Linked DNA regions of Canis lupus familiaris. The protein of the gene in region 1 purifies or fractionates together with the protein of each later gene. This does not show direct contact. Links are inferred from orthologs where the notes say so. Each region holds a gene or a part of one and is shown on either strand. Other genes may lie near its edges.

The links.
Region 2: the proteins of POLR3E (region 1) and GPN3 purify together in Homo sapiens (affinity purification with mass spectrometry; 3 studies listed by BioGRID and IntAct, counting the BioPlex papers as one, with this or other methods). This does not show direct contact. The link is inferred for Canis lupus familiaris from reciprocal best matches to the Homo sapiens genes POLR3E and GPN3.
Region 3: the proteins of POLR3E (region 1) and POLR1C purify together in Homo sapiens (affinity purification with mass spectrometry; 5 studies listed by BioGRID and IntAct, counting the BioPlex papers as one, with this or other methods). This does not show direct contact. The link is inferred for Canis lupus familiaris from reciprocal best matches to the Homo sapiens genes POLR3E and POLR1C.
Region 4: the proteins of POLR3E (region 1) and POLR2E purify together in Homo sapiens (affinity purification with mass spectrometry; 5 studies listed by BioGRID and IntAct, counting the BioPlex papers as one, with this or other methods). This does not show direct contact. The link is inferred for Canis lupus familiaris from reciprocal best matches to the Homo sapiens genes POLR3E and POLR2E.
Region 5: the proteins of POLR3E (region 1) and POLR3H purify together in Homo sapiens (affinity purification with mass spectrometry; 9 studies listed by BioGRID and IntAct, counting the BioPlex papers as one, with this or other methods). This does not show direct contact. The link is inferred for Canis lupus familiaris from reciprocal best matches to the Homo sapiens genes POLR3E and POLR3H.
Region 6: the proteins of POLR3E (region 1) and POLR3B purify together in Homo sapiens (affinity purification with mass spectrometry; 8 studies listed by BioGRID and IntAct, counting the BioPlex papers as one, with this or other methods). This does not show direct contact. The link is inferred for Canis lupus familiaris from reciprocal best matches to the Homo sapiens genes POLR3E and POLR3B.
Region 7: the proteins of POLR3E (region 1) and WDR92 purify together in Homo sapiens (affinity purification with mass spectrometry; 3 studies listed by BioGRID and IntAct, with this or other methods). This does not show direct contact. The link is inferred for Canis lupus familiaris from reciprocal best matches to the Homo sapiens genes POLR3E and DNAAF10.

The regions. Positions count from the first base shown.
Region 1 is NC_049227.1:23,569,966-23,573,715, forward strand, and holds part of POLR3E (DNA-directed RNA polymerase III subunit RPC5), read right to left. Parts: intron 3,739-3,750; coding exon 3,694-3,738; intron 3,605-3,693; coding exon 3,513-3,604; intron 2,581-3,512; coding exon 2,460-2,580; intron 1-2,459. UniProt on the Homo sapiens protein: DNA-dependent RNA polymerase catalyzes the transcription of DNA into RNA using the four ribonucleoside triphosphates as substrates.
Region 2 is NC_049247.1:8,512,959-8,516,708, forward strand, and holds part of GPN3 (GPN-loop GTPase 3), read right to left. Parts: intron 2,302-3,750; coding exon 2,134-2,301; intron 1,071-2,133; coding exon 946-1,070; intron 1-945. UniProt on the Homo sapiens protein: Small GTPase required for proper localization of RNA polymerase II (RNAPII). May act at an RNAP assembly step prior to nuclear import.
Region 3 is NC_049233.1:12,166,106-12,170,568, forward strand, and holds the start of POLR1C (DNA-directed RNA polymerases I and III subunit RPAC1), read left to right. Parts: upstream 1-1,642; 5' UTR 1,643-1,733; coding exon 1,734-1,802; intron 1,803-1,926; coding exon 1,927-1,998; intron 1,999-3,373; coding exon 3,374-3,481; intron 3,482-3,702; coding exon 3,703-3,835; intron 3,836-4,111; coding exon 4,112-4,231; intron 4,232-4,319; coding exon 4,320-4,463. Other genes in the region: protein YIPF3, read right to left, coding at 215-321, 522-719, 1,342-1,422. UniProt on the Homo sapiens protein: DNA-dependent RNA polymerase catalyzes the transcription of DNA into RNA using the four ribonucleoside triphosphates as substrates.
Region 4 is NC_049241.1:58,128,559-58,132,779, reverse strand, and holds the start of POLR2E (DNA-directed RNA polymerases I, II, and III subunit RPABC1), read right to left. Parts: upstream 2,951-4,221; 5' UTR 2,874-2,950; coding exon 2,817-2,873; intron 2,594-2,816; coding exon 2,419-2,593; intron 1,173-2,418; coding exon 1,057-1,172; intron 645-1,056; coding exon 564-644; intron 134-563; coding exon 75-133; intron 1-74. UniProt on the Homo sapiens protein: DNA-dependent RNA polymerase catalyzes the transcription of DNA into RNA using the four ribonucleoside triphosphates as substrates.
Region 5 is NC_049231.1:24,684,090-24,688,574, forward strand, and holds the start of POLR3H (DNA-directed RNA polymerase III subunit RPC8), read left to right. Parts: upstream 1-1,574; 5' UTR 1,575-1,790; intron 1,791-1,889; 5' UTR 1,890-1,907; coding exon 1,908-2,018; intron 2,019-4,485.
Region 6 is NC_049231.1:33,258,362-33,262,060, forward strand, and holds part of POLR3B (DNA-directed RNA polymerase III subunit RPC2), read right to left. Parts: intron 2,281-3,699; coding exon 2,107-2,280; intron 1-2,106. UniProt on the Homo sapiens protein: Catalytic core component of RNA polymerase III (Pol III), a DNA-dependent RNA polymerase which synthesizes small non-coding RNAs using the four ribonucleoside triphosphates as substrates.
Region 7 is NC_049231.1:68,510,902-68,514,651, forward strand, and holds part of WDR92 (WD repeat-containing protein 92), read right to left. Parts: intron 2,597-3,750; coding exon 2,481-2,596; intron 1,859-2,480; coding exon 1,724-1,858; intron 1-1,723. UniProt on the Homo sapiens protein: Key assembly factor specifically required for the stability of axonemal dynein heavy chains in cytoplasm.

The DNA.
Region 1 (3,750 bases):
TTACGAGTATAACCTTGACCAACTTCGGCCACAGACGCTGTCACACTCACACCACCCCAGACCATCCTATGCCTGGGGTGCCTCTGCTCTCCTGCCCCCTCCTTCTGCTAGGAGACTTCACTCCTGCCCTCCTCAATCCTACCTGGCAACCAACTAATACCCTTCCTTTAAGGTCGAGCTCTGTGTCCACTCCCATCCCAGAAACACTCTTTGGGGACAGGGACATGGCTTATGTTGCTCATCACTGCCACACAGAGAAGGGAGCTGCTAGGTAGGTACTGAACAAATGGATAAACGTGGTGCGTGCCCTGGGCTCATCTGTAATGGTGCCCATCTCTGCCCCACACAATTCCCAAGGGCAGGGACAGTGTAGGAATGACAGTGGAGCACAGGACACAGAACAAGCAATCACGACATAGTTCGTGAACAATGTGTAAATTTTGCATCACCTCCACACAGAAACAGAAGGGACACGGCAAGAAAGGGGCGCCACCCACAGGCCACAGCATGGCAGTGAGGGCTTGCAGCAGGAGCCGAAGAACCGGGGAGCCAGAAAACACACAGCCCCAGAGGCCCCATGTCCAGGTTACAGGGATGGACCCCAGGCTGAAAGGGCAGAAGCACCAGGGCCACAGGCACTGCTGGGCCAAGAGCTCAAACCCCAGCTCCGGGACCACCTTGCTGCCAGATGTTTGGCAAGTGTCTGCCTCTCTGGGTCAGTGTCCTTGAGTGAGGGGACGGCCCCTCCTGGCTCTCACCCATTCGTAACGTAAATATACCTGGGTGGTCCCACTTAATGAGGGATGTGCCATCCAACATCCAAAGACCTTCCATAATCAAACACGTGTGTGGCACAACAGCTCCAACTACTGACAGACACTGGACAAGTTTACCAGTGCAAGGGCGCCACCAGGTGGCAGTAACGTGAACAGACTCTACAATTCACTTGGCCAACCAGCTGAAATGACAGGAGCTTCTGCAAGGAGTTAAAAAATTTGGAACAAATTTTTAAAGAGATTGTTCACCTTACACCACACCTTCTAAAAAGTGAGCCCTTACTAGTGTACCTAATGTCACACTATTTAAAATAAATATAATTCAGGGCACCCCCAGTGACTCAGCGGTTTAGCGCCGCCTTCGGCCTGGGGTGTGATCCTGGAGACCCGGGATTAAGTCTCACGTTGGGTTCCCTGCATAGAGCCTGCTTCTCCCTCTACCTGTGTCTCTGCCTCTCTCTCTCTCTGTCTGTCATGAATACACAAATATTTTTTAAAAAATAAAAATAAAAACATAATTCAGACATACATGAAATGCACCTACACTTACTACCAAGGGTCTGAGATATGCTAAGCATTATACTGAGTGTCAGGGACACAAGGTAGGGGTCAAAATAGAAGTCCCTACTACCCCCATCCCTCTTGAAAATAATGGTCTGGTGGAAGGGTCACAGAAGAGAAACTACTGAAAGGCATCAAGCCACATGCTCCAAACCCCACGGGACACATGAAACAAAACTCACACTCAGATGCATCTTAATGAACTGTGGAAAGCCACAATAAGAGAAAATCTCAGAAAGAGCCAGAGGGGACCAAGGGACTCATCACTAGAAACAATGGGAATGAGAACACAATGAAACTATGTCAGTGTGTGGAAGGGAAACCATCAACCTCGAATCCTACACTCAAGAAAAATATCTTTTAACAATAAAGGTGAAGGGCAGCCACAGTGGCTCAGCGGTTTAGCACCAGGGCGTGATCCTGGAGACCTGGGATCGAGTCCCATATTGGGCTCCCTGCATGGAGCCTGCTTCTCCCTCTGCCTGTGTCTCTGCCTCTCTCTCGGTCTCTCATGAATAAATAAATAAAATCTTAAAACAAACAATCAATAAAGGTGGAATAGATATTTGCAACCAAACAATACCCAAGTAACTCCTCCCCCCTGCAGATCTTCTTTAAGGGAACACCCCGGCAATTTTTGGCAGGAGGTAATTATCCCAGATAGAAACTCAGATGCAGAAAGGGATGATAAGCAAAATCAAAAAGAAAATATGTGAAATCTGAAGAACACTGACTGGATAAAATAACATCTTGTGGATTTTAAACTACAATTAAAAATATAGAAATAAAAAAATAGAAATACAATGGCACATGAGTTGAGAGGAAGATAAACAGAAAGCATTCTAAGGTCTCTGAATTGTACTGGATAAGAATAAAATACAGCCATTAATATAACTATGATCAGTTATGAATGCACTCTGAATCTGTAGGCTACTCACTAAAAGAACCCAGAAAGGGTAACTTCTAAATTAGCAGGGAGAAATGGAGTAACAAAAAAGGATCAAGTAGCAGGTAAGAATGGATATAAAATGCAGGACAACCAGTGCTATGGTAGACTTAAACCCAAAACATCAGTAATCACGAACTGAAATGCATCAGATGGTCCCATGCAGAGGAACTCACCTCTTCACCACCCAGTTTCCCTGGACCAGCATCGCCACCTTCTGGATGCCACGCAGAACAGCCACAGAGTCGATGGAGGGGCCTAGGAGGCTCATCAAGTTGGCAAAAGGCATGACCTTCACTGAGGAGGACACAGATGTCAGACAAGCGAAGGGGCCCTTCCTTCTCCCTCACCAAGTCTATACAGCTTCAGGCTCATGTAACCACTCCAGCGTGTGAATAACACTGACACATGGGTAATAATAAGAGCTGACTTCACTGGCTGCTTGTGTGGGCACCCCACCTTACTGAATTCTGGAGGAAACACCCCAAGGGGTGCTCCTTAAAGGTAAGACTACTACGGGGTGCCTGGCTCAGCTGGTAAAGTCGTGACTCTTGATCTCAGGGTCATGAGTTCAAGTCCCATGTTTGGTGTGGAGTGTACTCAGAAAAAAAAAAAGGTAAGACCATGACTCCTGGGGCCCAAAAAGGGCCCGGGGAAGGCCTGTTGGCAGCGAGGGCAGTGGCCTGGCACCCCAGCAGCCCCAGGCAGAGCTGGGAGCTCGCCTCTGCTCAGGCACCTGGAGATCCTAGAAGTGGTATCTCAGGAAAGGAGCCCAGGGCCTGGGATTAAGCTCTGAGGTTCAGGACTCACCCTACCCTACAGGTTCTGGCCCCCAAGTCCTCTGAAAGACACCAGTCCCTACTGGGTGCAGCCTGGTGCAGGTACCACAAAACAGTGCAAGGGAACGAATGGAGCTCATGTTCACGTGCAAGGCTCTGTAGAAGCCATGAAGAAGCCTCATCTCCGCCCTCAGGAGCTATCCTAGTTCCCTAGTCTCGGGAACATCAGTGGCCTGCCCAGGCTCACAGCAGGGCAGTGGCCCAGCCAGAACGAGAACAGGAATCAGAGCCTGCTGAGGGAGCCCAACAGGCCACTGTGGTGCATTCCTTCTAGGCAAGGCCAGAGCCGTCAAGCCAGGCCCATGCTGAGTCCTTAGTCTGTCCTAGAGTCCATTTCCCCAGGAGGTGGTAGGGCTGGGTTCCCCCTGGAGGAAGTGGGTGTCCACCCACCATTCTTCATCAAGATCTTGATCTGATCAGCCAGGGGCAAGGTGCGCAGCTGGGCCATGGACAGGACGTTGCTGGGGGCCACGGGTTTGTCTCTGGTGAAAACAGAGACAGTGGGTTAGAGGAGAGGGTAAGAGGAAAGATTTGGGGTGGGGAGGGTGGCATCTGGCCCAACTCTACTCACTTCTCCTCTTCTGGGCTGGGTGGCATCAGCATCATGAGGTACTCACTGCAGTGGGGG
Region 2 (3,750 bases), on another chromosome or scaffold:
TCAGTTTAGATGGTAATTTTTTTAAAATTTTTTTAATTTATGATAGTCACACAGAGAGAGATGAGAGAGAGGCAAAGACAGAGGCAGAGGGAGAAGCAGGCTCCATGCACCGGGAGCCTGACATGGGACTCGATCCCGGGTCTCCAGGATCGCGCCCTGGGCCAAAGGCAGGCGCTAAACCGCTATGCCACCCAGGGATCCCCAGATGGTATTTTTTTTTTTTTAAAATATTTTATTTATTCATGAGAGACACAGATAGAAGCAGAGACATAGGCAGAGGAAGAAGTAAGCTTCCCTTTGGGGAGCCCAATGTGGGACTTGATCCCAGGAACCCGAGATCACAACCTGAGCTGAAGGCAGATGCTCAACCACTGAGCCACCTAGGCGCCCTAGATGGTATCTTAACCTCTTTTCTGATTGAATATTCTTAAGAGCAATTAATGGAAAATATAGTTCATAAATTAGACAAGAGGCTCTCGAAGAATTAAAAACAGACACGAGGGACACCTGGGTGGCTCAGCGGTTGAGCATCTGCCTTTGACCCAGAGCATGATCCTGGAGTCCCGGGATCGAGTCCCACATCGGTCTCCCTGCATGGAGTCTGTTTCTCTCTCTGTTCCTCTCTCTCGTGTCTCTCATGAATAAAATCTTAAAAACAAAACAAAAACAAAAAAACAGACATGAAATGTGCATCTGCCTCATTTTTCTTTGTTAAGTAGCTCCCCCAAATCTATACGATATCATAACTTATCATTTTTGAGTTAAAAATAGGTCATTAAAAAAAAAAATAGGTCATTAAAATAACTGAATAACAAAGGATAATACTAAATTATTCTGGAATGTAGTTTGTGAAATGTCCAGAGTATTGAAATCACAGAGTGCTTAAAGGAGACTGTCATCTGCTTGTACCCACAACTAAAAAATAGACAAGACGGATCTTCAAACCTTGAACGACTCCACCATGAACTGAGAATCAACAAGAAAAACTCCACAGACTCGGAACTCCCACTGTTCCAGCTGTTGGACCAGCTGTTTCATCACAGGCAGGTGCGTATACAACTCAATCTGACCTACAAAAGAACATGACAAGATTAATATAAACAGGAAATATATAGTCATCAAACTACATGTAAAAAAATTTCCCACAAGATGGTTAAAAAAGGGGAGTCAAAATTGAGTGCTACAAAGATGTGTGTTTTTTGGGAATATTCATCAAGCTGTATGCTTAGGATGTATGTGCTTTTCTGTGGGTTCAATTAAAAGCAAGGGAAAATACTTTCTCTTTAAAAAAAAAAAAAAGTGGGGGGGTGGTACCTGGGTGGCTCAGCCAGTTAAGCGTCCGACTCTTGATTTAGGCCCAGGTCATGATCTCAGGGTTGTAAAATTAAGCCCCGCGTTGGGATCTACACTAGGAACGGAACCTGCTAACGATTCTCTCTTGTGTGCGTGCATGTGCTCTCTCAAAACAAAAATATAAAAATAAAGTAAAATAAAAGCAAGGAAAATTAAGTGAGAACCACAAATGATCACAGGTCAGACTCAAGTCTAAAACTCACAATTTGGCTTAAGGAGTTGTGTGTGATCTGTCCCCTATCAGCCTCACCTCATGAACTTCCCCTGGGTTTTCAGTACTTCGGCTACCCTGGACTTCTTGGTGTCCCAAACCCACCTCATTCCTTCCTGCCTTGAGGCTCCTGGCATGTTGTGCCTCTGCCTGGACCATGGTATGGTCTCTCTCACCTTCACCCCCCAGCCCAGCTTACATACTTGGTCAGAAGCCTCCTAATCTTCTTGCTATATGATGATGGTTGGTGCTACTCCTGTGGAGCACCTATCACAAATCAGTATTAAATAATCACCTAGGAGATTTTGTTCATTCTGTCTAGCACACTCACTGTGCTGCCGACTCCATGAGACTGTGAGCTCCATGAGGGCAAAGACCACAGCTGCTGGGGTCTCTATGGTATTCTCAGCACACAAACTAAGCACTCAGTAAACTCAAAGCCAATAGATAAGAGCTTTGGGCCTCACTGCAATCTAGTTAAGAGCTACAAGGCTCAATCCACTTTCTCTCACTGAGGACAGAACTAGTACAACTTCTAAGAAAATGTCATATTCAAATTACTGACTTACCTGGACAGTCAAAAAGGATGTAGTCATCCTCTACATGGCCAAGGCAGTTCTCTAGCCAGTCAAAATTATTGGCAAAGTACTCCATGCAAAATACCAATCCTCCATTGGGACCAAAGCGGAGAGAGTCATCCTCCATGACATCATCCACCTCAATCAGTTCCCGAATATCTGCAAAAGATGGGGCCCAGGATCTAAGAACAGCCATTCAAAAACTGTTGTCCTCATTAGTGATAGTTAACAATTTATTTTTTTTAAGATTTTATTTATTTATTCATGAGAGAGAGAGAGACAGAGGCAGACATAGGCAGAGGGAGAAGCAGGCTCCATGCAGGGAGCCCGACGTGGGACTCGATCCTGGGACTCCAGGATCACTCATTGGGCTGAAGGCAGGCGCCAAACTGCTGAGCCACCCAGGGATCCCCAATAGTTAACAATTATATAAAAACACATGTGTGGGATGCCTGGGTGGCTCAGCAGTTGAGTGTCTGCCTTTGGGTCAGGACGTGATCCCAGTCCGGGGATTGAGTCCCGTATCAGGCTCCCTATGAGAAGCCTGCTTCTCTCTCTGCCTATGTCTCTGCCTCTGTCTCTCATGAATAAATAAAAATAAATAAATAAAAATAAAACACATGTGTGAAACTATTTCTGTACATGATTATTCACTGTAGCAGTTTGTAGGAACCAATTAAATTATTAAACAGCCAGACAATGGAACCCTACGTAGCCATAAAAAGGAGAAGCTCTCTTTTTTTTTAAAGATTTATTTATTTATTCATGATAGACATAGAGAAAGAAAGAGAGGCAAAGACACAGGCAGAGGGAGAAGCAGGCTCCATGCAGTCCTCCAACGCAGGACTTGACCCCAGGTTTCCAGGATCATGCCCTGGGCCAAAGGCAGGTGCTGAACCGCTGAGTCACCCAGGGATCCCCCAAAAAAACTCTTTAAATATGGGTGTGATATAATCTCTCAAGTATACTTTAATTCATTAATTTGAGAGAGGGTTGGTGTGCGTGCACATGAACAGGGGGAAGGGGCAGAGAGAGAGGCAGAGACTTTCAAGCAGACTCTGTGCTGAGTATGGAGCCCAACCCAGGGCTCGATCTCACAACCCTGAGATCATGACCTGAGTTGAAACCAAGAGTTGGACATTTAACTGACTGAACCACCCTGGCACCACATCCTAGGTATACTTTTAAATGAAAAATGCAAGGTGCAGAATTCTGTGTAAAAAATGCCATCATGGGGATCCCTGGGTGGCACAGTGGTTTAGCGCCTGCCTTTGGCCCAGGGAGCGATCCTGGAGACCCGGGATCAAATCCCACGTTGGGCTCCCGGTGCATGGAGCCTGCTTCTCCCTTCTGCCTATGTCTCTGCCTCTCTCTCTCTCACTGTGTGCCTATCATAAATAAATAAAATTAAAAAAAAAAAGCCATCATTTGTGTGAACAACAGCAACAATAAGACAAAGGTTCACTACATATACACAATAATACATATATCTGATTTTATATCCATAAACTCTCTATGGAAAGACACCTTAGAAACTGGCAAAACTGGCTGTCTCCAGGGAGGGGAGCCAATTACCGGAACACAGACCTGAGAGGGAGATATTTTACT
Region 3 (4,463 bases), on another chromosome or scaffold:
TTGAGGAATAGGGAAGAGGAAGCAACATTTGAGCTGGCTGTTGAGAGAAGAATAGTTTGCTGGATGAAGAAGAGGAGGAAGGCAATGTGTTATCACTATGTCCTGTTCTGTGACTGGTAAGAGGTATGGTGTAGCTGGAGTACAGGTGCAGTGATGAGGGCTGGGTATCTGGTTGTAGTTTGGATGAAGGACTAGATATGAGAAGGATCCTCACCTGCTTCGCACCTGGGCTGGCTCCACATCGAAATAGGGTCTCAGGATGTCGATGTTGGCATACAAGCTGAAGGCCCTGGAGGCTTGTCTCTTCCCTGCCTGCCACATCTGCAGTAAGGAAGACGGAGTGAAGTGGGTAGGTACTGCGAGAGGTTCTTGGCCATAGTCCCTGTCGCTCACTTTCTATTGGCCTTCTACACAGTTCTAATGGGTTAGGCGACATGGGGGTGAACTTTAACATCAACTCCAGCACTTGGGGGCCTTCCTAAGTATACTTTTCCACCTGCTAGGGATCCAATCCTGCTTACCTGATCTGCCACTTGCCGGCTCAGCTGTCCCTTAAAGCCCTTCATGCCCAGGAACTCCCCATCCTCTTCTTCAGCAGCAGCTGCATCAGCATCTACTTCTTCTTCACGCAGGCGCTGATGCAGTTCACCCATATCCTCAAAGCTGGAGCCTGAGGTATCATCCATGTTCTCCATGTCAATCACAGCTGAGCCCCCACCCTGTGAAGACAATGGCTTCTAGAGTGCAGGCCCTTTCTGTTCCATCCGCGGGTCCTCCTCCGTTCCTCCCAGGATTTGGGACTTTGTTCTTCCACTGCTGGGGATATGGCTTGGAATCACCATAGATCATACCACTCTCTTCCCCTCATCTGCTCTCAGAATCCTTGGTTGTCTGGCTCTCTTTTCTAGCCTGGGAAACCTACCCCCTGTCTTGCATATATGTCTTTCTTCTACCTTCCCTATCAAATCCTCAGAGGGCTGCAAAAGTGCCCGTTTTGTCTTTTCCAATCCCCAAACAAGGCTGTGCACACAGCATGGTTTTAGCCAGCGCCGGTGAATACCGCCCACTCCCTCGCCATGCCTGGCCCCGATCGACCAACAAACTTGTCTCGAAAGCAAGAGCAGGCAGGCCCAGAGGCACGAGGCCCTCTGGCTGGAGCACCAGTCTGGACCTTTGAGGTCAGCACCAGTCCCACTACCTTCCGTGTACACCAAGAGCCAAAGGAGAGGACAAGTGTTGCAAATGGAGCAGACTTCCAAGCTCCCAGGGAGAGTCCCCGCGACGCTTCAGGACGGCTGCCGGCCCTGCGGCTGCCGGCAGCCGGAGCCCTGGGGCGATTACCTGGATGTTTTCTTCGAACCCTCCCCATTCCGGGCCGGCCCCGCTTCGGGCGCCGCCAGCCGGCGCCGCCGTAGTTGCCATGTCCCTCGAGGGCTCCCGTCGCTGAAGCCCGCGCTAGTCCCGCGCGCGGAGGAGGAGTGGGAGAGACGTGGGCCTGAAGGAGGGAGATGTCTAGGGGCGAAAAAGAGCGGTGGGTTCAGCCGGAACGCAAAAAGGAGAAACCCGGATGTTTGGCCCAAACCGACTTCCGGAAGCTGGGGACGTGGACGGAGGCTGCACAGAATCTCGCGATATTTAACATCCCGGGAGGCGGTGCGTTGCCATGGAGACGAAGGAGGGCGACTGGGACGCGCGCGCCAGTTTGCTGCCCTAGTCACGTGGAGGGGTAGAAGATGGCGGCCGCCCAGGCGGTGCAAGAGATGCGGACCCGCGTGGTTCTAGGGGAGTTCGGGGTTCGCAATGTAAGCCCGTGGCCTTGAACTCGGCAAGAGAAATGAGAGTGGAACAGGAGGGATGAGTTGGGATCGGAGTTGGGGCGGGTTTGCCCTACCTGCCCCTTCGCAGACTCGTCTCTCTTTGGTCTAGGTTCATACCACCGACTTTCCCGGTAACTATTCCGGCTATGATGATGCCTGGGACCAAGACCGCTTCGAGAAGGTAGGTGGGGCTGGAGAGGGTATTGGGAACGGATCGTGTGATCTGAGCGGCCTGTGCTTTGGAAACTGCCCGTGGGATTCGCTGCGTTCATAAAACGTTTATTGAGCAATATGCTAGGCCCTCCGTGTACATGGTCTGTGCCCTGTTCGTCGAACAAGATGTTTAATCTTGTTGAAGAGCACGCATAAATGACTCCAGTATGATGTAAAGGTGGTTGGTAGCGATAAGAAAGGACAGTCGTGACTAGGGTGACCCCTGAGGGGCACTTAATCTGGAACGGAAAGCGGGGCAGCGGTATGGAAGATTTCCTTCCTGCAGGAGATGACATCTGAATTGAGCCCTGAACGATGAGTAAAATCTGAGAAAGGGTAAGGGTGAAGGTGGGGGGACGAAGACTAGAAGCTACATTATAAAGGCTTTGTGAACTGTGTTCCAAGAACGTCCAGTTTATTATTGCTAGAATGTAAAGTCGGGCAGCATGAGTGCTAGGCAAGATTGAAGTGCATCTTAGACACTGTAGGTGATAGGGGAAGTTTTGAAGAGCTCTGAGCCAGATGTGATCTGATTTGCATCCTTAACTGTTGGGAAAGATCATAGAGGGTAGTCAGATTTGTGACAGAATTGCATAGAGGAGCTGAGGTTGAAGGTATGAACTAAAATGATAATCAGGAAAGTAGAGCAAAAAGGAGACATGATAAATTTGGTGACTGTTTTGATGTGGGCTGTGAGGAGGGAGTATAAAATAACCTACCTTGAGGAACTGCTTTAATGGATGGTGGTGCCATTTACTGATGAAAAATAGGTCTGGGGAAGGGGAATGATGCTGCATTGTTTCCTGAATGTGAGGTCTAGCAGGCCAGTAAAATGTGTGTTTGAAAGGAGATGAGAAGTGAGAATTTGGGAGTTTTCTGTATATATAGTTGTTAAACCCATGAGCGTGATTGAGGTCACTTTGGAGAGAGATAAAAATCCAGAAAATAGTGACTTTATGGAGTGGGTAGGAGATAGTGAATTTAGAAGGATTCATTGGAGGAGAAAGAACCAGAAGATTGGTGCTCAGAAACCAAGGCAGAGTTGGAAAATGGAGGGATTCTATCAATGCCCGATGGAGGAGTCTAGTAAGAAAGGACAGAGTAGAATGGTCTCTGTGGGTGGTCTGGTTGGAGGATTTAAATGAATAGAGGATAAAAATGGGAACTTTTCAAGAAGTTCATGAAGAATTGGGGGAGAAGGGAACAGCTATGAGGTACATCTGGCCAAAGGGAGGTTCTTGGGTGAGTGGGAACATTGTTGCTGGGGCTGGGGGATATCCAGAGGGACGGTATTGATTCCACAGAGGCCAAGGCTTCATTTAGTGCATTTTCTGTCCCTGTAGAATTTCCGTGTGGATGTAGTGCACATGGATGAAAACTCATTGGAGTTCGACATGGTGGGAATTGATGCAGCCATTGCCAATGCTTTTCGACGCATTTTATTAGCTGAGGTATTTATTGGTGGGCATGGTGGCAGGGACGGAGTTGGGTGGAAACTGAGCCATCACCTTACTTGGAGAATTCTTAGGTTGCTCCTTTCATTTTCCTGAGCATTCCTCCTGAACTTTTCATCAGGTGTTTTTCTGGGAATAGGGCCCCCTGTGTCAGGAAGTAGGAGTAAATAGGGAGTCTGTAGGGTCTCTGTAGATGAATGATTTTATTTTTTGGGCAGGTGCCAACCATGGCTGTGGAAAAGGTCCTGGTGTACAACAACACATCCATTGTCCAGGATGAGATCCTTGCTCATCGCTTGGGGCTTATTCCCATTCATGCTGATCCTCGTCTTTTTGAGTATCGGAACCAAGGTCAGCGCTTGAGAAAACGAAATTGTGGCAAAATGGGAACAGCTGTCTCCTAAAGTAGATTCTAGAGGATCTACTGCCTACGTTCAAATCCTGGCTTGATTACTGTGACCATGAGCAAATCACTAATGTTTTGGTACATCAGTTCTGATCTGTGTGAACACTTGCCCTGGTCTTCTGAAATTGGAAATTTGTCCGAGGAGTAAATGAGAAGTGTAGATTAATGCACTCAAATACTCAGTCGTTCTTTAAGAGCTGCCACTTTCATCCTTTGTTCAGGGGATGATGAAGGCACAGAGATAGATACTCTGCAGTTTCGGCTTCAAGTCAGGTGCACACGGAACCCCCATGCTGCTAAAGATTCCTCTGACCCCAATGAACTCTATGTGAACCACAAAGGTGAGTGGTGGTATGGTGAGTAGGAAGGCCCACCTCTTGATGGGTACTAGTTTTAAGGATTGATGTTTTCCTGATGTGCTTTCTCCAGTGTACTCCAGGCACATGACATGGGTGCCCCTGGGGAATCAGGCTGACCTCTTCCCAGAGGGCACGATCAGACCCGTGCATGATGATATCCTCATTGCTCAGCTGAGGCCTGGCCAGGAGATTGACCTACTCATGCACTGTGTCA
Region 4 (4,221 bases), on another chromosome or scaffold:
ACGGGGGGGGGGGGGGGGAGGGGCAGAGCCTGGGGGCGGGGGAATGGGGTCCCAGGGGATGGGCTGAAGGATACTATCGGGCCAGCAGCTCTGTCACCTCTTCCTTGGTCATGACGACGTGCTCTGGGACCAGCTGTCGAGAGGGGAAACTGAGTCTGTGGGTGTGACAGGCCCCACGGCGCCCCCACACGGGAAAGGGGAGCAGAGCGCCACAGGCTGTTTCCTTGGAGTCAACCATCCACCCAAGGGTCCCAGCTGCCACCCCACCCTGCTCCTGACTCCACGCCTGGGGGGAAGGAGCTATGGCCTGCAGGCGCCTGGGGGGGTATAACCTGGAGAGTGCAGGGGCCCCTGGACAGACCCCACCCCCTGCCCCCCAGCTGCCTGACTGCACACCTGGCAAGTGCCCAGGGCCTCACTGAGACTCCGGCTCTGCTTCCTCCTCCCCACAAAGTGGGAGCAGCGGCACCTGGTGCGTCCCCAGGCCCTCCCTGTGCTCGGGCAGGTGCCACCTCACCAGCCGTCCAGCCTCCCCTCCCGCAGACCCCCACTAAGGCCCTCACCTCGTGCTCCGTGATGTTGATGAGTAGCTCCTGCTGCAGAAACTGCTCCAGGATGTACTTGGGGGCCATGTCAACCAGGGACTGAAAGAGAGGCTGACCCTCACGCACAGCCAAGGCCCAAGACGCCGCCACCCCACCTCTCCCAGGGGCTGAGGGCAGGTGGGAGCCAAAGGGGGTTCCCACGTGTCAGGTCAGTAAGGCTCCTCTGGGAGGAAGAGACCACCCGACACAAACTGTGACACCTAACAAAATGCTCCTGCAGTTGTCCCTGTGCTGGTGTGACGTAGAGAACCCTGCAGGGACGAGCGCACAGAGCTGGCCCTCCGTCCCAAACAGCAGCCCCTCCTCGGACCTGTTAACCACAGGAATGCTGGCACCCATGCAGGGCACCTCCCTGCTCTGGCTTCTGCCCACACGGGAGAGCCGCTCCTTCTCAGATCCCCAGATCCTGGGGCCCATGAGGACGTGCGGCCAACACGAGCAGCGTGCCCACCTGCTTGGCGGAGGGAGTCATGCCCTGCTGTACCACAATGAGGGCCCGGGTGATGTTCTCCTCCTGCATCCGCTGGCAATACACCTTGATGGTCTTGATTCCCACTTTAGGCTCCTCTGGGGACAGAACACACGAGGTCTACACTGCAAGAGTCCCTCCTGCCCCAAGGGCCCTGCTCACTCACCTGCTCGTTCACTTCCACCCTGCTAGGCGCGCGGGCTCCAGCTTGACCTTGCCAAGGTGTAGCAGTGCCTCTCTGGACCAGCTCCCTCTTTCTAGGGCCCCAGGGAACCCACCAGGGTGCCAGTCCTCCCCCCCAGCCCCCACGGAGCTGATGGGTGCCCTGCATCTACCCACTTGGTGGATCCCTCCCTGGAAGCTGAATCTGGGGACCTACGTGGTGCAATGTCTGGAATCCCCAGATGAAGCAGCTGACCTGAAGGACCAAACCCCCTCCCTGCACAGCCACGGTGGGAACCCTCACGCTCACCACAGTACAGGGGCCAAGACCTGCGGGACCCTCTGAGCCTGGTGGAAGGTGAGCAACTGGGTGCCTGCTGCCAGGACGGGTGCGTGTGGTGCACCACATCTGCCCCATCACAGCACTCCCCTCGGACCCTTGCTCACCTGACGGGCAGCGTCAGGGACTGAGCTGTTTCCCACGGAATCCCCGTGTTACAATCCTAACCCCCGAGACCTCGGGTGCAACCGTACTTGGAACTGAGGTCTTTAAAGAGGAGATTCCACCAGGTTGTCAGGATGGACCTCAGTCAGACACAACAGCACAGACACACAGAGGCACGACCTCGGGAACTCATGGAGAAGACGGCCACCGGCACGCCAGGGAGAGGCCTCAGGGGGACCCAGCCCCGTGCACACCCTGGTCTCAGACGTCCTGCCTGCAGCCCCGGAAGAGGTCAGGCTGCTGCTGAAGCCGCCCGGTCTGCGGCGCCCAGTCGCGGCGGTCCAGGTGGACCAGCACGGCCGCTCAGTCCCATTCTGTGGCCCACTGGAGCACACGGGCGCCCCGGGCCCACTCCAGGGAGGGCCCTGCCACAGGCCGACCCACACACGGGGACGCTGTTTGCACGAGCACCAGGAGGGTCCCTCCTGCAAAGGTTTCCGACGCCCTTGCTTCTGGGCAGGGGGCTGGGCCCCCCGGGAGGCCTGCGACAATCCGGCTGCACTGAACGAACAGTCAGCGGGGAACAGAACCCAGGGCTCCCATCAGCACCCCGTGGCACCGTGCGCAGCAGGCTGGGCACTCGGGAGGGCGGGTGTAGACACCGTCCCTGGATGGCTGCACGAGGGCTGCGGACTCCTAGGGGTCACGCAGCCACCCAGGACCCACGCGACCCTCACCTGGAAAGAAGACAAACATCTGGTCGGTGGGGTCGTCGTTGTGGGCCACCAGCACCGTGAGGTCCGTGCGCCGGGGCCGCCCCTCGCTCGGCTTGTCCCCAAACTGGGCCTTGAACTCTTCCAGCGTCTGGTCCAGCTCATCCTGCGTCACCAGGTAGCCGCGGTCGTGGCACAGCTGCAGGGAGCACCAGCCGGGTGACCCCCGGGCTCAGAGGGCGGGGCGGGAGGGGCGCGGCCGGATGACGTCACCGCGGAGAAGGACGGACAGGGCCGCGGCCCGGCGCCTCCGAGCGCGTGGGGACCGCACAGGAAGGGGCCGCAGAGGCCGGGACGCACCCGCCGAGCGCGCCCGGAAGCTCCGAGCTGCGCCCGCCGCCGCCCTGACCGCGCGGGCTCACCTGCATGATGGTCTTGCGGATCTTCCACAGCCGGTACGTCTCCTCCTCGTCGTCCATGGCGGCCGCCGCTCGCAACCCGCGCGCCTGAGCCCGCGGCAGGGGCCCGCGCTGACTGCGCCTGCGCCGAGCCCTGCCAAGCCCCGCGCGGGGCTGCCCACAGCGAACGCCGGACTCCAGAGACCTTCGCGGGCGGCAGCGCCGAGGGCAGCCCGGGCCTTCTGCGAGCGGCGGTGGGCGGAGCCAGAGCCGAGCGAACGGGACCGCCCACTCTCGCCTCGGCAGTTGTCGCGGGGTTTCGGCCGCGGGGCCTGTCGGGAGTTGTGGTTTCCGCCCGATGCCCGTGTGGGTGGGGAGTTTGGAATCCGGAAGGGCGGAGGCGAGGTGTGGGCGGGGAAACTGAGGCCAGGGTGGGGTCAGCGGTCAGCTCGCCTCCCCGGGGCGCAGGGCATGTTGTCAGGCCCCCCACCAGGTACGCATCCCGCTGCTGGGCGTCGCCGCCGCCTTACTGCGCAGCAGCCTCGGGTCGCCCGGGTGGCTCCGTGGCTGAGCGTCCGCTCGGGGTGTGATCCCCGCATCGTGGGCTCGAGTCCCGCATCGGGTCCCGCAGGAGCCTGCCTCTCCCCCAGCGGTTCTCAGGAGTAAATAGTCTTAAAAAAAAAAAAAAAAAAAAGAAAGGCAGCCCGGGTGGCTCAGCGGTTTAGCACCGCCTGCAGCCCAGGGCGTGACCCTGGAGACCTGGAGTCCCACGTCGGGCTCCCTGCGTGGAGCCTGCTTCTCCCTCTGCCTGTGTCTCTGCCTCTCTCTCTCTCTCTTTCTCTCTCTGTCTCTCTGTCTCTGTCTCTCGAGAATTAAAAAAAAAAGCCTAAGCAACGGAGCCCCCCAGGCACCCCCTCCGCCAGCCCGTTTTTTCTTATCTGCCGTCTACACCCGTTTCTCCCTAGTCTGTCCGCCCTGGGCCGGCAGCTCCGCTCCTCCGTCCTGCCCCTTCTCCACATCCTGTCCATCCTGTCCGACTGCAAACCCTCCACCTTCAGAACTGCAGGCGCCGACGTGAGCCCCCATCTGTGGCCCTCTCCCTCCTCTCCCCCTCCCCCATCTCTCAGCTGAAATGCAGCAACAGCAAAGGAAAACCCCGGCTTTTCAAGGCAATCAACGAGGCCTCCCAGGTGTGCCCCAGGCTTGCCCCACGACAGCCTCTGACCTCCCCTCCCCCCTCCCCCGGGGCCTCCTGCAGCCAACGCAGCAGGCAAAGTGCAGCCCCAGGGCCTTTGCACACATTGCACCCTCTGGTGGATACGCCCTTCTTCTGACATTCCTACAGCTGCTCCCTCTCCTTTGACCTCTTCCTGCCAGCCCTCTCGCTCCCTGCCTTCCCTGAGTCCCTTGATTGTTTTGTTTTTTTTTA
Region 5 (4,485 bases), on another chromosome or scaffold:
TGAGCTACCATAAAGGTTTTGGACTTATTTATTATTATTATTTTTTAAAGACTTATTTATTTATTTATTCATGATAGACACACACACAGAGAGAGAGAGAGGCAGAGACACAGGCAGAGGGAGAAGCAGGCTCCATGCAGGGAGCCCGATGCGGGACTCGATCCCGGGATTCCAGGACCGGGCCCTGGGCCAAAGGCAGGCATCAAACCGCTGAGCCGCCCAGGGATCCCTGGACTTATTTATTATTAAGATATTTATTTATTGGGGCGCCTGAGTGACTCAGTGGTTGAGTGTTTGCCTTCAGCTCAGGTCGTGATCCCCAGGTCCTGGAATGGAGTCCTGCATTGGGCCCCCTGCATGGAGCCTGCTCCTCCCTCTGTCTGTGTCTCTGCCTCTCTGTGTATCTCTCATGAATAAATAAATAAAATCTTAAAAAAAAAGATATTTATTTGTTATTAGAGAGAGCACACGAGCAGGGGGGAGGGGTGGGGAGAAGGAGAGGGAGAAGCCGACTTCACACTGCTCATGTTGAGCAGGGAGCCCAACACAAAGCTCTTTCCCAGGACCCTGAGATCATAACCTGAGCTGAAGTCAGATGCTTAACTGACTGAGCCACCCAGGAGCCTCAATTTATTTAAGTAATTTCTACGCCCAAGGTGTGGCTCGAATCCACAACCTGGAGATCATCCCACACTCCATGGACTGAGCCAGCCAGGTGCTTCAAAGTATCAGACTTTATTATTAATTTAGTGGGAAGGTACTGGGGTTGTTTTTTGGTCCAATTCATGATCACTTTTCTTTTCTTTCTTTTTTTTAAGATTATGTATTTATATATTCATGAGAAACACAGAGAGAAATAGAGGCAGAGACACAGGCAGAAGGAGAAGCAGGCTCCGTACAGGCAGGGAGCCCCATGTGGGACTCGATCCCCAGAGCCCAGGATCACGCCCTCGGCCGGCCCAAGGCAGGCGCTAAACCGCCGAGCCACCACTGAGCCACCCAGGGATCCCCAATGATCATTTTTCAATTGAGATGTAATCTGCCTACTTAAGTGCAACGATCTTAACTGTCAAGTTTGATGCGTTGTTTTTTGTTTTTTGTTTAAGATTTTATTTTTAAGTAACCTCTATGCCCAATGTAGGGCTTGAACTCACAACCCTGTTAACAAGAGCTGCATGCCCTACTGACTGCCAGGCCCCCACCTGTGTAACCCACCCCCCTAGAAGAAGATAGGAAACATTCCTATCACCCCAGAAAGGTCCCGCCTGCTCCTTTCCAGATAAATCTCCCGCTTCCAGGGTCCTGAAGGGGTCTAAGCAAACTGTGCCGGCTTTTGAGAGGATCCCTCTGGCCGGGCGCAGCGCACCGCCCCGCCCGGGACGGAGAGGAAGAGCGACAGCCCCGCCGGGCAGGTGAGGTCGGGATCGCGCCCACGTTGCCTAGCAACCAGGAAGCGCGGTCGAAGGGCGGCCGGCTCCGCGGGGGCCCACGGGGAGGCCCCGCCCTACGTCGCGCCGCGTCGCGTTGGGGGGCGGGCAGAGGCTTCTTATTGGTCTGTTCTCCGGAAGCGACGGGATTCGGAATCTCGCCCGAAGTCGGCTGCGCGTGGGAGCGCGGTGCATGGCGGCGCGTGGCGCGTGGCGGGACCGGGTCGTGCGGCGGGTGCTCGCGCTCTCTCGCTGGAGCGAGGGCGTCTCCTGCTGAGCCTCAGTTTCCTCAGTTTGCAGAGGCTGCACACGCCCCGCACGGGGTACCCGGCGCCGCACCGCGCAGCCCCTCCGCCGGCCTGGGTGTGTGCGTGGGGGGCGCTCAGCGGCGGGGACGCGCCCGAGGGGGTTCGGGAACGCCCACCGCCCCACACGGCGCGTGACTGAGCCTCCCGCCCCCAGGGCCCCGGCGCAGGCGCGATGTTCGTCCTGGTGGAGATGGTGGACACCGTGCGGATCCCCCCGTGGCAGTTTGAGAGGAAGCTCAACGACTCCATTGCCGAGGAGCTGAACAAAAAGTTGGCCAACAAGGTACCGGGGGCCCACGGGGTCGCTGACAGGCCCTGGCACGGGAGGCCCAGCGCTGCCCTCCTGCCCGCTGCAGGCCTCCCCGGTCACGCCAAACCCTGGCCTTGGACAAGTAGCTTAACTTCTCCGAGCTCAGTTACTTCACCTGCACGTGGGATGTTGGAGTCAAAACAGAAACTGGGGAAATGCCAGATTGCACCCTGTTGGATTACCCGCTCTGGGCCTCAGCTTCCATTTGTAAAATGGAAATAATGATGGCTGTCACACACTGTGTCTGTGAAGATGGACAGTGGTTTAGAGTTAACCATCATTAAGGGGCCCCTGGGTGGCTCCGTCCCTGAAGGATCGGCCTTCAGCTCCTGATCGCAGGGTCTTGGGATTGAGCCCCACATTCAGCTCCCTGCTCAGTGAGGTGTCTGCTTCTCCCTCTCCTCCCTGCTCATGCTCTCTTGCGCTGTCTCTGTCTCGCAAATAAATAGAGTTAACCATCAGGAGATTTATTCTTTTCTTTTTTTTTAAGATTTTGTTTATTAATTCATGAGAGACACAGAGGTAGAGGGAGAAGCAGGCTCCATGCAAGGAGCGCACGCGTTCTCTCTCTCTGTTAAATATATCTTTTTTTTTAAGATTTTATTTATTGATTCATGATAGACACAGAAAGAGGCAGAGACACAGGCAGAGGGAGGAGAAGCAGGCTCTATGCAAGGAACCCGATGTGGGACTCGATCCCAGGAATCTGGGATCATGCCCTGAGCCAAAGGCAGACGCTCAACCACTGAGCCACTCAGGTGTCCCAATAAATATATATATTTTTTAAAATGAAGATTTTGGGATGCCTGACTAAACTGCTCAGCAATTTAGCGCCTGCCTTTGGCCCAGGGCGTGATCCTGGAGTCCTGGGATCCAGTCCCACATCGGGCTCCCTGCAGGGAGCTTGCTTCCCCCTCTGCCTGTGTCTCTGCCTCTTTCTCTCTCTCTCTCTTTCTGTGTCTCATGAATAAATAAATAAAATCTTTTTAAAAAATGAAGATTTTATTTATTTGAAAGAGAAAAAGAGAGAGAAAGCACAAGCACGGTGGGGGGCAGAGGGGGAGGGAGAAGCACTCTGCTGAGCAGGGAGCCTGACTTGGGACTCAATCCTAGGACCCTGGGATCATGACCTGAGCTCAAAGCAGATGCTTCACCAACAGAGCTACCCAGGTACCCTGGGGATTCATTTTTGAGAGTGGGAAAGGGCTGTGCAGAGAGAAGAGTTGGGCAGGCAAAGGAAACTGCATGTGTAAAGGCCCTGTGGCAGGAGGGAATATTTCATCCATCATAACCTGGAGGAGGACTGGTGTGGCCTGGAGAGGAAGAGAGGAGAGTAAGCTGGAAAGGTGGCAGGAGCCAAACCACATGGGGCCTGCAGGATGTCATGGCAGTATTGATTTCCATCTGTAGAATAGCAGGAGGTGATAGGCTGAGAAGGAGCAAGAGGAAGGTTGGCTGGCTTTAGACAGGAGGCCAGTCCCTTCTGTAGATAGAGGCTGAGATCATGGAAGGGAGTTGTTTGCAGCTGTTGGTGGAGAGAACTCATGAAGTCCTTAGTGATTGGCTTCCAGTTACGTTGTGAGGTAGAAGGTAGAGGGGGTCAGTGGAGGGATGAAGTGTGAGCATAGTGGTGACAGAAGGTGTGAAAAGTCCAAGAAGGTAAAAAAAGTAAAAAAAAAAAAAAAAAAAAAAAAAAACTGTTTAAAAAAAAGGGGATCCCTGGGTGGCTCAGCGGTTTAGCGCCTGCCTTTGGCCCAGGGTGCGATCCTGGAGTCCCGGGATCGAGTCCCACATCGGGCTCCTGGCATGGAGCCTGCTTCTCCCTCCTCCTGTGTTTCTGCCTCTCTCTCTCTGTGTCTATCATAAATAAATAAATTAAAAAAAAAAAAGCTGTTAAAAGTCCAAGAAGGGAATGTAGCCCTTTGGGGTATGGGTCCTTCAGGGACCTGTTCAGACGAGTCTTTTATATTAGAATCATTTGAGAGGAAGCTGCACAGAAGAGGTCTGTGGTCTGGCCAAGGGCACAGATCTTTTTTTTTTTTTTTTTTTTTAAGATTTTATTTATTTAATTATGAGAGACACACAAAGAGAGGCGGAGACACAGGCAGAGGGAGAAGCAGGCTCCATGCAGGTACCCAATGTGGGACACGATCCCATCCAGGCCTCCCAAGGGCACAGATCTTGTGCAAGGCAGCCAGGCTCTGTGGCTCATTGTGGTGAGGTCCGGCCCGGACTTGGAGTTCTCTGAGCTTCTTGCTAATCCTTGAACAGTCCTGCAGGGTGTGTATTGGGAGGTGATGACACTGGTGGCAGGTAAGCAGGCTGGTGATTTGGGGCACGGTGGGCATGGGGTATGAGATGCCCTGTGTCTAGTCTCAGAGCCTCGGGCACGTGTCCCTCTGCCACCCTCAGTCCCTGTGGCCACGGCTGTGTGCCTGAT
Region 6 (3,699 bases), on another chromosome or scaffold:
AGGTAAGAATTTAACAGAATAATATTGAGATCAATTACTGCCTTCATTAGTTTCCCTGAAGATTCAGTGATAGAGAGGGCAAGGTTGTCAAAGTACGTGAGAGAATCTGGTCTATTGCTTTCTCTTTCTCTCTCTTCTTTGGGTGGGGGGCACAGGAGAAAATGCAGGGAGGATGGAGAAGGAAAGGAAATCCATTCTGAAGTTTCTTGATCCCTATTTTTAATAAAATGGTTCTTCTGTACCATCTTTTCAAAGCAAATGACTTAAAAATCCTTGTGCCAAATCTGGAGATGCAAGCACAGTGGCATTGGTCCCGGGCACCTTCCTATTACACTGTGTGGCCGTTGTTACACAGCCAGGACAATAAAACACAAATTCAATATGCATTTCAAAAGGCGAATAGAATCTCCGGATTGAAATCCCCACCCCAGTCACTGATACAAGAGCCAGTCTCATGCTTAGAATCATATCACTTGTCTCTGCAACCTAATGAAAGGAATGAGCTGCAAATGGCCACCTCTTGTGTTCGTTTTTAAATGAAATGATTTCTTCATGGACAAGTCTCATCAACTCTTCTACGCAAAAACCCACTGAATAATTGGCTAAAAGGTCTGTCATTTACCAAGCAAGGCATATACTATATTTGAAGATGCTTGCTCACTCTGGCTCTTGATTTGCTTTATTCAACCAAGAAACTGGAGGCCTAGGGTGGTAGGGCTGAGAAGGAGGCTTCACTGAGGGGAGACTCAGCAGGGGAAGGTGGCCCAGGTAACCTTCAAGCCCTCGAACTCTGGCAAGGATTGCACAACTGGGCCTAATTTTCTCCTCCAGGGGATGATGCATCCCTGGGGAGAAGAGGCTCTGGGAGGTCAGGAGAAGGCTGACTAGGGAGTCAAGGCAGCTTCCTGTCCCTGCGGACCCACTTCAGACCTCATTAGACCTCATCTCTGGTAGGAAAGTAAGTGGAGATGGTAAGCTACAGGTCCTCCTGCCAACAGGCTCAGTCAGGGTCACAAGAGGTGACTAACCCAAGGCACGGTAGCTGTTCCTCAGTGCAAGGAACACCTTTTCTCCACTTAAGAGGTGTAAAGATGCTCTGTCTACACAAACAAAACCAACAAACATGTAGCTTCATCTTTTTAAAAAAAATAAATTTAAAGATTTTTTTGAGAGAGAAAAAGAGCAAGAGAGCACAAGGAGGGGGAGGGGGAAGGAGAGGGAGAGAGAAGCAGGCTCCCACTGAGCAGGGAGCCCCTGCAGGAGGGCTTCCAATGTAGTTGGAATGAACTAGAAGGTAAATTCCCTGTGAGCAGTCATTCATGTGTCTTATTCACCACTGCACTCTGGGCCTGGAAGAGTGCCTGGCACTCAGCAAACTCTGTGTGTTGAGTGAGTGCCTGAGACAGACCTAGGCTCTGCTATCATGGAATTCATGGTGTAAAACAGCTTGCTGTTCAGCTGGAGCACAGACAAGGGGCCAGGGTGTCAGGTCCTGGTCCTGGTCACCAATGTGCTACGTAACCTGCACAACATACCGGGCTCTCTGGGTTTGAAGTTAAATAAGTGCATTCAACAAAATGTTCTCTAAAAAGTTCTAGTTACAACATGCTGTACTTCTCATATCTGACAATGGATCTGCTAGCAATTTTTTTACAGGTAAACAGTGATAAAAGGTGTTTGAAAAAATATTAAAAAGACAAAATCAGGTGCGTAATTGGCTCAGTTGGTTGAGCGTCTGCCTTTGGCTCAGGTCACGATCTGTGGGTCCTAGGATCGGGTCCCAAGTCCTGCTCAGCAGGGAGTCTGCTTCTCCCTCTGCCCTTCCCCGCTACTGCTTGTACTAGTTCTCTCTCTAACTCACTTGCAAAATAAAATCTTAAAAAAAAGAAGAAGAGCAAGTCCATACTCCTTGGGTATTTAAACTCTAGTGTGTAGAAAGCAGAGCATTAGGCAGACAAACTAAACAGATACATATAAAATCCCCAGTTCTAGGAGTGCGTGGATGGGGCAGTATGGGTAATATGTGGGTGGGATCTGGGGTCGATTCCTGAGCTATGATTTAAGAGGCAAGGTGTGCGGTACAAGAGGCATATGGCACCCACTTACCAGCCAGAATACCCCAGAAGTCCACACTGCCCACAGACATCAACTTCAAAGGCATCACTTGAAATCATCAATCTCTCTAGTAGGAGCATGCTGGCTCCGTAGCCGATTAAACAGTCACGTTCCATTTCTCCAAGACGCAAACCGCCATCACGAGACCGACCTTCAGTGGGCTGCCTTGGAGACAAATCAGACAGATGTGTCATTATTCTGCTGAACCAACAAAGGGCAGCATCCCGTCCTGGCCAAGCACACGAGGCTCCAGAGCAGGCTCACCTTGGTTCAAATCATTCACGGGACGGTAACCTGAGGAGCTGCTCAGCCTGCCCCTCAGCCGCATCTGTACAACATAGGATGTAAGGCTCCCAAAGAGCCATGGGAGGACAATACTAGTGGCTGCTACTGTTATTAAGTGGTAGTAAGAAGTCATATTATGTGATGGAATAATAAATCAACATATCATCATACTACCACCATCATGATACCGTTACTGTTATTGTCCTCACATCAGGGAAGAATGTCTTTGGAGTATTTTCAGAGATGTTTCAGTTCTGTTGTCTGAAAGTGGAGAAACTATACAGAAGAGAGCGTGGAGGAAGCCTGGGTCCCCCAGTAGTTGTTGGGGCTCCAGTTACTGAGAAACAAACATGGAAAGAATCAAATGGATTTTTTTAAAATTTGGAATAGATCAGGAATCACATGGAATCAGACACTGTCTGAGCTGTCCTTCATGTATGAACATGTTCCATTCCTCCTCAGACGGGGGTGAGCTGGGAGCTATGAGTCCCCTGAAGAGCTTCCCTGTGGCTTATGTATCTGCCGTGCTTGGGAATCCTTCAAAAGGATTCCAGGGTGCAGGGACAATCAGGGGATTCTGAAACAGCACAGGCAGCCCTAGCCAGGTAGTGCTGACACAAACTATTAAAAAGGAAAAGAGAAAAAAAAAAAACAAAAAAAAAAAAAAGAAAAGAAAAAATTGAGCTCCCTGGCTAGTTGATTTTTTTTTTTAAAGATTTTATTTATTTATTCATGAGAGACAGAGAGAGAGAGAGAGAGAGAGGCAGAGACACAGGCAGAGGGAGAAGCAGGCTCCTAGCAGGGAGCCTGACGTAGGACTCCATCCCAGGTCTCCAGGATCAGGCCCTGGGCTGAAGTTGGCGCTAAACCGCTGAGCCACCAGGGCTGCCCTGGCTAGCTGATTTTGTTTTGTTTTGTTTAATTTTTATTTATTTATGATAGGCACGCAGTGAGAGAGAGAGGCAGAGACACAGGCAGAGGGAGAAGCAGGCTCCATGCACCGGGAGCCCGACGTGGGACTCGATCCCGGGTCTCCAGGATCGCGCCCTGGGCCAAAGGCAGGCGCCAAACCGCTGCGCCACCCAGGGTTCCCTCAAGCTTGCTTTAGATTTAAAAAGGTAAACAGGGCGTATGCCAACCCATGCTGAAATTTTACCTTTTGTTGTTGCCAAAGTTATATTGGGAGCTCAATTTAAGTTGTAGATTATTCTTTCAAAGACAATCTACGTGTGAAAAACTTACAAATGATCAAAATGAACACACTGTAGTGGAAACTTCATCACTGAGCACAAGGGCTGT
Region 7 (3,750 bases), on another chromosome or scaffold:
AAAACTGAATAAAAACATACACGCACAAAGCAAGAGGGGATGTGACCTCTTAAAGTACACTGGCTACGGGGGCACCTGGGTGGCTCAGTGGTTAAGCGTCTGCCTTTGGCTCAGGTCGTGATCCCAGGTCCTGGGATCCAGCCCTGAGTCAGGCTTCCTGCTCAGGGGGGTCTGTTTGTCCCTCTCCCTCTGCCACTCTCCCTGCTTGTGCTCGCTCACTCATGCTCTCAAATAAATAAAATCTTAAAAACAAACAAACAAACCACTGGCTGAGAAACGTGTCACAATTGCATAAGAGCCTATTTAATAAAATGCTTTAAGCTGCTGACAGGCACTTACTATATTCTGAAATAACGAGGCAAAAGATACTGCAACTTACAGCTACGTTGTTAAGAATTTAGTTCATCAGGCAGTGACAGCAATTTATATGCAGTAATAATAATAATTAGCAGTAATAACAAAATAAGACAAGACAGGAAGGTTTGAGAAGTGCTACTGAATCCGTGATGGAGGGAGAGGGAGCGAGAGAGTAAATGTTTAGTTCCTGAGCAACTTACAAGTTTTAATCTTATGGAAACCACAAACCTGTAACGGATCTTTACTTCCACATTCAAGGAAGGTCGGAGTCACATTCCCAACCCTCCGGCAAATGACAGGGCGTTTCAGCTTGAATTTTATGCAATCCCCTTACTCCAGACTTCATCATCTTGTTTTTTTCTTTAACCAGTATTTTCCCTGTGATTTGCTTTCTTGATCTATTTTTGATGTCGTAATACTGTACGTTTCCCTCTTTTTTAAGATTTTCTTTATTCACTTATTTGACAGAGAGAGAGAACAGGGGGAGGGGCAGGGGGAGAGGGAGAAGCAGGCTCCCCGCTGAGCAGGAGCCCCCATGCAGGGCTCCATCCCAGGACCCCGGGATCACCTGAGCCGAAGGCTGATGCTTAACCGACTGAGCCACCAGGTGCCGTGGATGTTTCCTTCCAAGCTACTCAAATACGTCTGGAGCAACGTATGGTACGTATATGTGTAAGTGAGTGACTGAATAAATAATTTTTCTGAATCTACTATGTGCCCATGATTAATGCTTTGAATGATTTCACTTAATATAGCAAACCGGGGGGCATCCCTGGGTGGCGCAGCGGTTTGGCGCCTGCCTTTGGCCCAGGGCGCGATCCCGGAGACCCAGGATCGAATCCCACATCGGGCTCCCGGTGCATGGAGCCTGCTTCTCCCTCTGCCTGTGTCTCTGCCTCTCTCTCTCTCTGTAACTATCATAAATAAATAAAAATTAAAAAAAAAAAAAATATAGCAAACCGGGATATAAAATGAAAGGAAATAACATATACATGTTGATATGTTTTGAGAAGTATATAATTAGATATTAACACAAATATTATATATTTATTAGAAAGCATAAGGCTACATTTTGTTGATGCAGTTCTTAGCATCAGCTAGTTGTCTTGCAATTGTTCTTAAACTACAATATAAGATTCTTAGCCAACTGAGAAGCCTTTATTGTAATCAAGAAATCTAAAATTGATAAACTTTGGGAAAATACTCTCTGCACAGAAAAACTTGTCAAGTTCCTACAGGAATGCATTAAAAATAGCTCCCTTCACATAAAGACCTGGAAGGAACCTCGGTGACTAATTCTATTTATTAGTCTAAAACAAGCTATGAACATTCCTCTTCATAGAAAGACATTTCTCTCCTAACTTACCTTTTCTGAAACAGAAGCAAAACCTTTAGTTGGATGCTGTGTCCTCATATCAAAAACATGAAATTTTCCTTCCAGTGACGTAGCTACCAATTTATTCATACTTATGTCTTTTCTGTCAAACTCCAAGCTGCACACCTGAAATAGAAAATACGTATTATTGATGGTCCAATGACTGTTATTCAGGAGGTTCTTTTAAACTAAGTCAAACAGTAAAATTATCAGTTCATGTGAAAGCATTTAAATAATCACTATATCTTTTGAGATCAATCTGGAAACCCATGGGATCTTTTACTGTTTTCATGTAACTTTATTTTCTACCGCCCAGTCAAAGCTGATTTTAAAAAACAGGAAGGAACCACATTCTTCACTAAAGGTCTACAATTCACGACCCCCAAATCTGAAAGTACTTGGGGAGGCTACTACTGTTTCAGGCTTTCCAGTATTAGCAGGCACGGGGCCCGTTACCACCTCACTTCACTATCACACGGCCTCGCCCACGGGGGTCCACACACAGGCCACGGGGGCTGGTGGCCACCAGGGACTGTCACAGCACATCTCAACGTGTGCTCACTTTCTGAAGAGAGGACCCCTGATGAGAATCATTAAATTCTCAGAGGGCTGAACAGCCCTGAAGGTTCAAAGCCATGGGCAGGGGGCTGCCCGAGATGAGCCATGAGGGGCGCTCTCCTTCTAAAGTAGTTCGGAGGTGGACAAAAGCACGCTCAGACCACCCACACAGAAGCCAAGTGTACGTTACCCCATTTTTTATGTTGGTCTCCCACCGCAAGGACATATTTCTCAGATCAAACAGTTTGATGTCGCCATTGTCATAGCCAGCACAAACAACACGCTCCTCTTGATTGTAAGCATTGCCTGGAAATCAAGACGCATTGCGGGTCTTTAGGAAGGCTCGTCTGAAGGCTGCTGAAATCACGTCGTAAAACACACATATAACTGGTACCAAATCAGACCAAAAAACCCACAAGAGGCCGAATCTCGAGTTGCCAACCCCGACGGGACGTCAGGATTATTAGGCTGGCTATCTGATACTGGTTTTTGAGTTTTTGTGTTTTTTGTTTTTTTTAAAGCCTCCCTTGCTGAGGTTCTCTAGTGAAGGGCTGACCGGTGTTCACCGGAGTCTACGTGCAAGCGCCCTTCCTTCTCTGCCCGACCCGCACGCGGCCGGGTCGGTTATGTCCAAACACAGCAGCTTTGGGTAGAAGAACTACAGCTGTGCTACGGTTGCTTTCTCTGGCAGCAACTACATTTGGACGCAAATAGAAACAACCTGAAAACTCCTTCATTTTACAAAATGTCGTCTGGTGTTCTCTTTGCACGGAAATAAATCTGAACTGGTTAAGTTAACACACTGTGATCTGTGCGTAGTTGTAGGAACGATCACAGCTGCAGTAAGACTGTAACCTGAGGTTCAACTCCTCCTGTGTGGATCCGGGGGTGCTTCTGGAGGACCTCTGGCCTCCCCTCTCCCCGCCACACACCACCAATCTGATCTTCCTCAAGTTCTGGTCACATCTCATCCCCACAAAAACTCTCAAAAGTTCACCTCCGCCTCCAACCATCTAAACACTCCTGACTTTGGAAAGGCTACTCCCGCCACGGTTTCCTTCAACATACGTTCTTGGGCACATTTCAGGCTATTCCCCAGGCTTGACATTTCCTCCCAACTTCAGTGATTCAAATACTATATATACTTGGCCTGGGGTCAAAATGTTCTTCCTCCATAGCCACCTGCCCCTCGAGATGCCTTCTATATTCATCCACACCCCTTGTCACCTTTTATCATTCCCGCCCTGTACCATCAATAGCGTAGACGTCATACCCTCTTTACTAAACTATAAGCTTCTTGAGGCAAGACTGGGAATCTCTCACCTCTGCATGTTCACACTGTTCTGCATGTACCTGACATTCATAAAAGAGATCAATTGTTTCTCAAACTTTATGTCCCAAATTTAAAACTGTACTTATGTCCCTTAGATCAAAGATGAAAGGCATTAATGGACCCACAG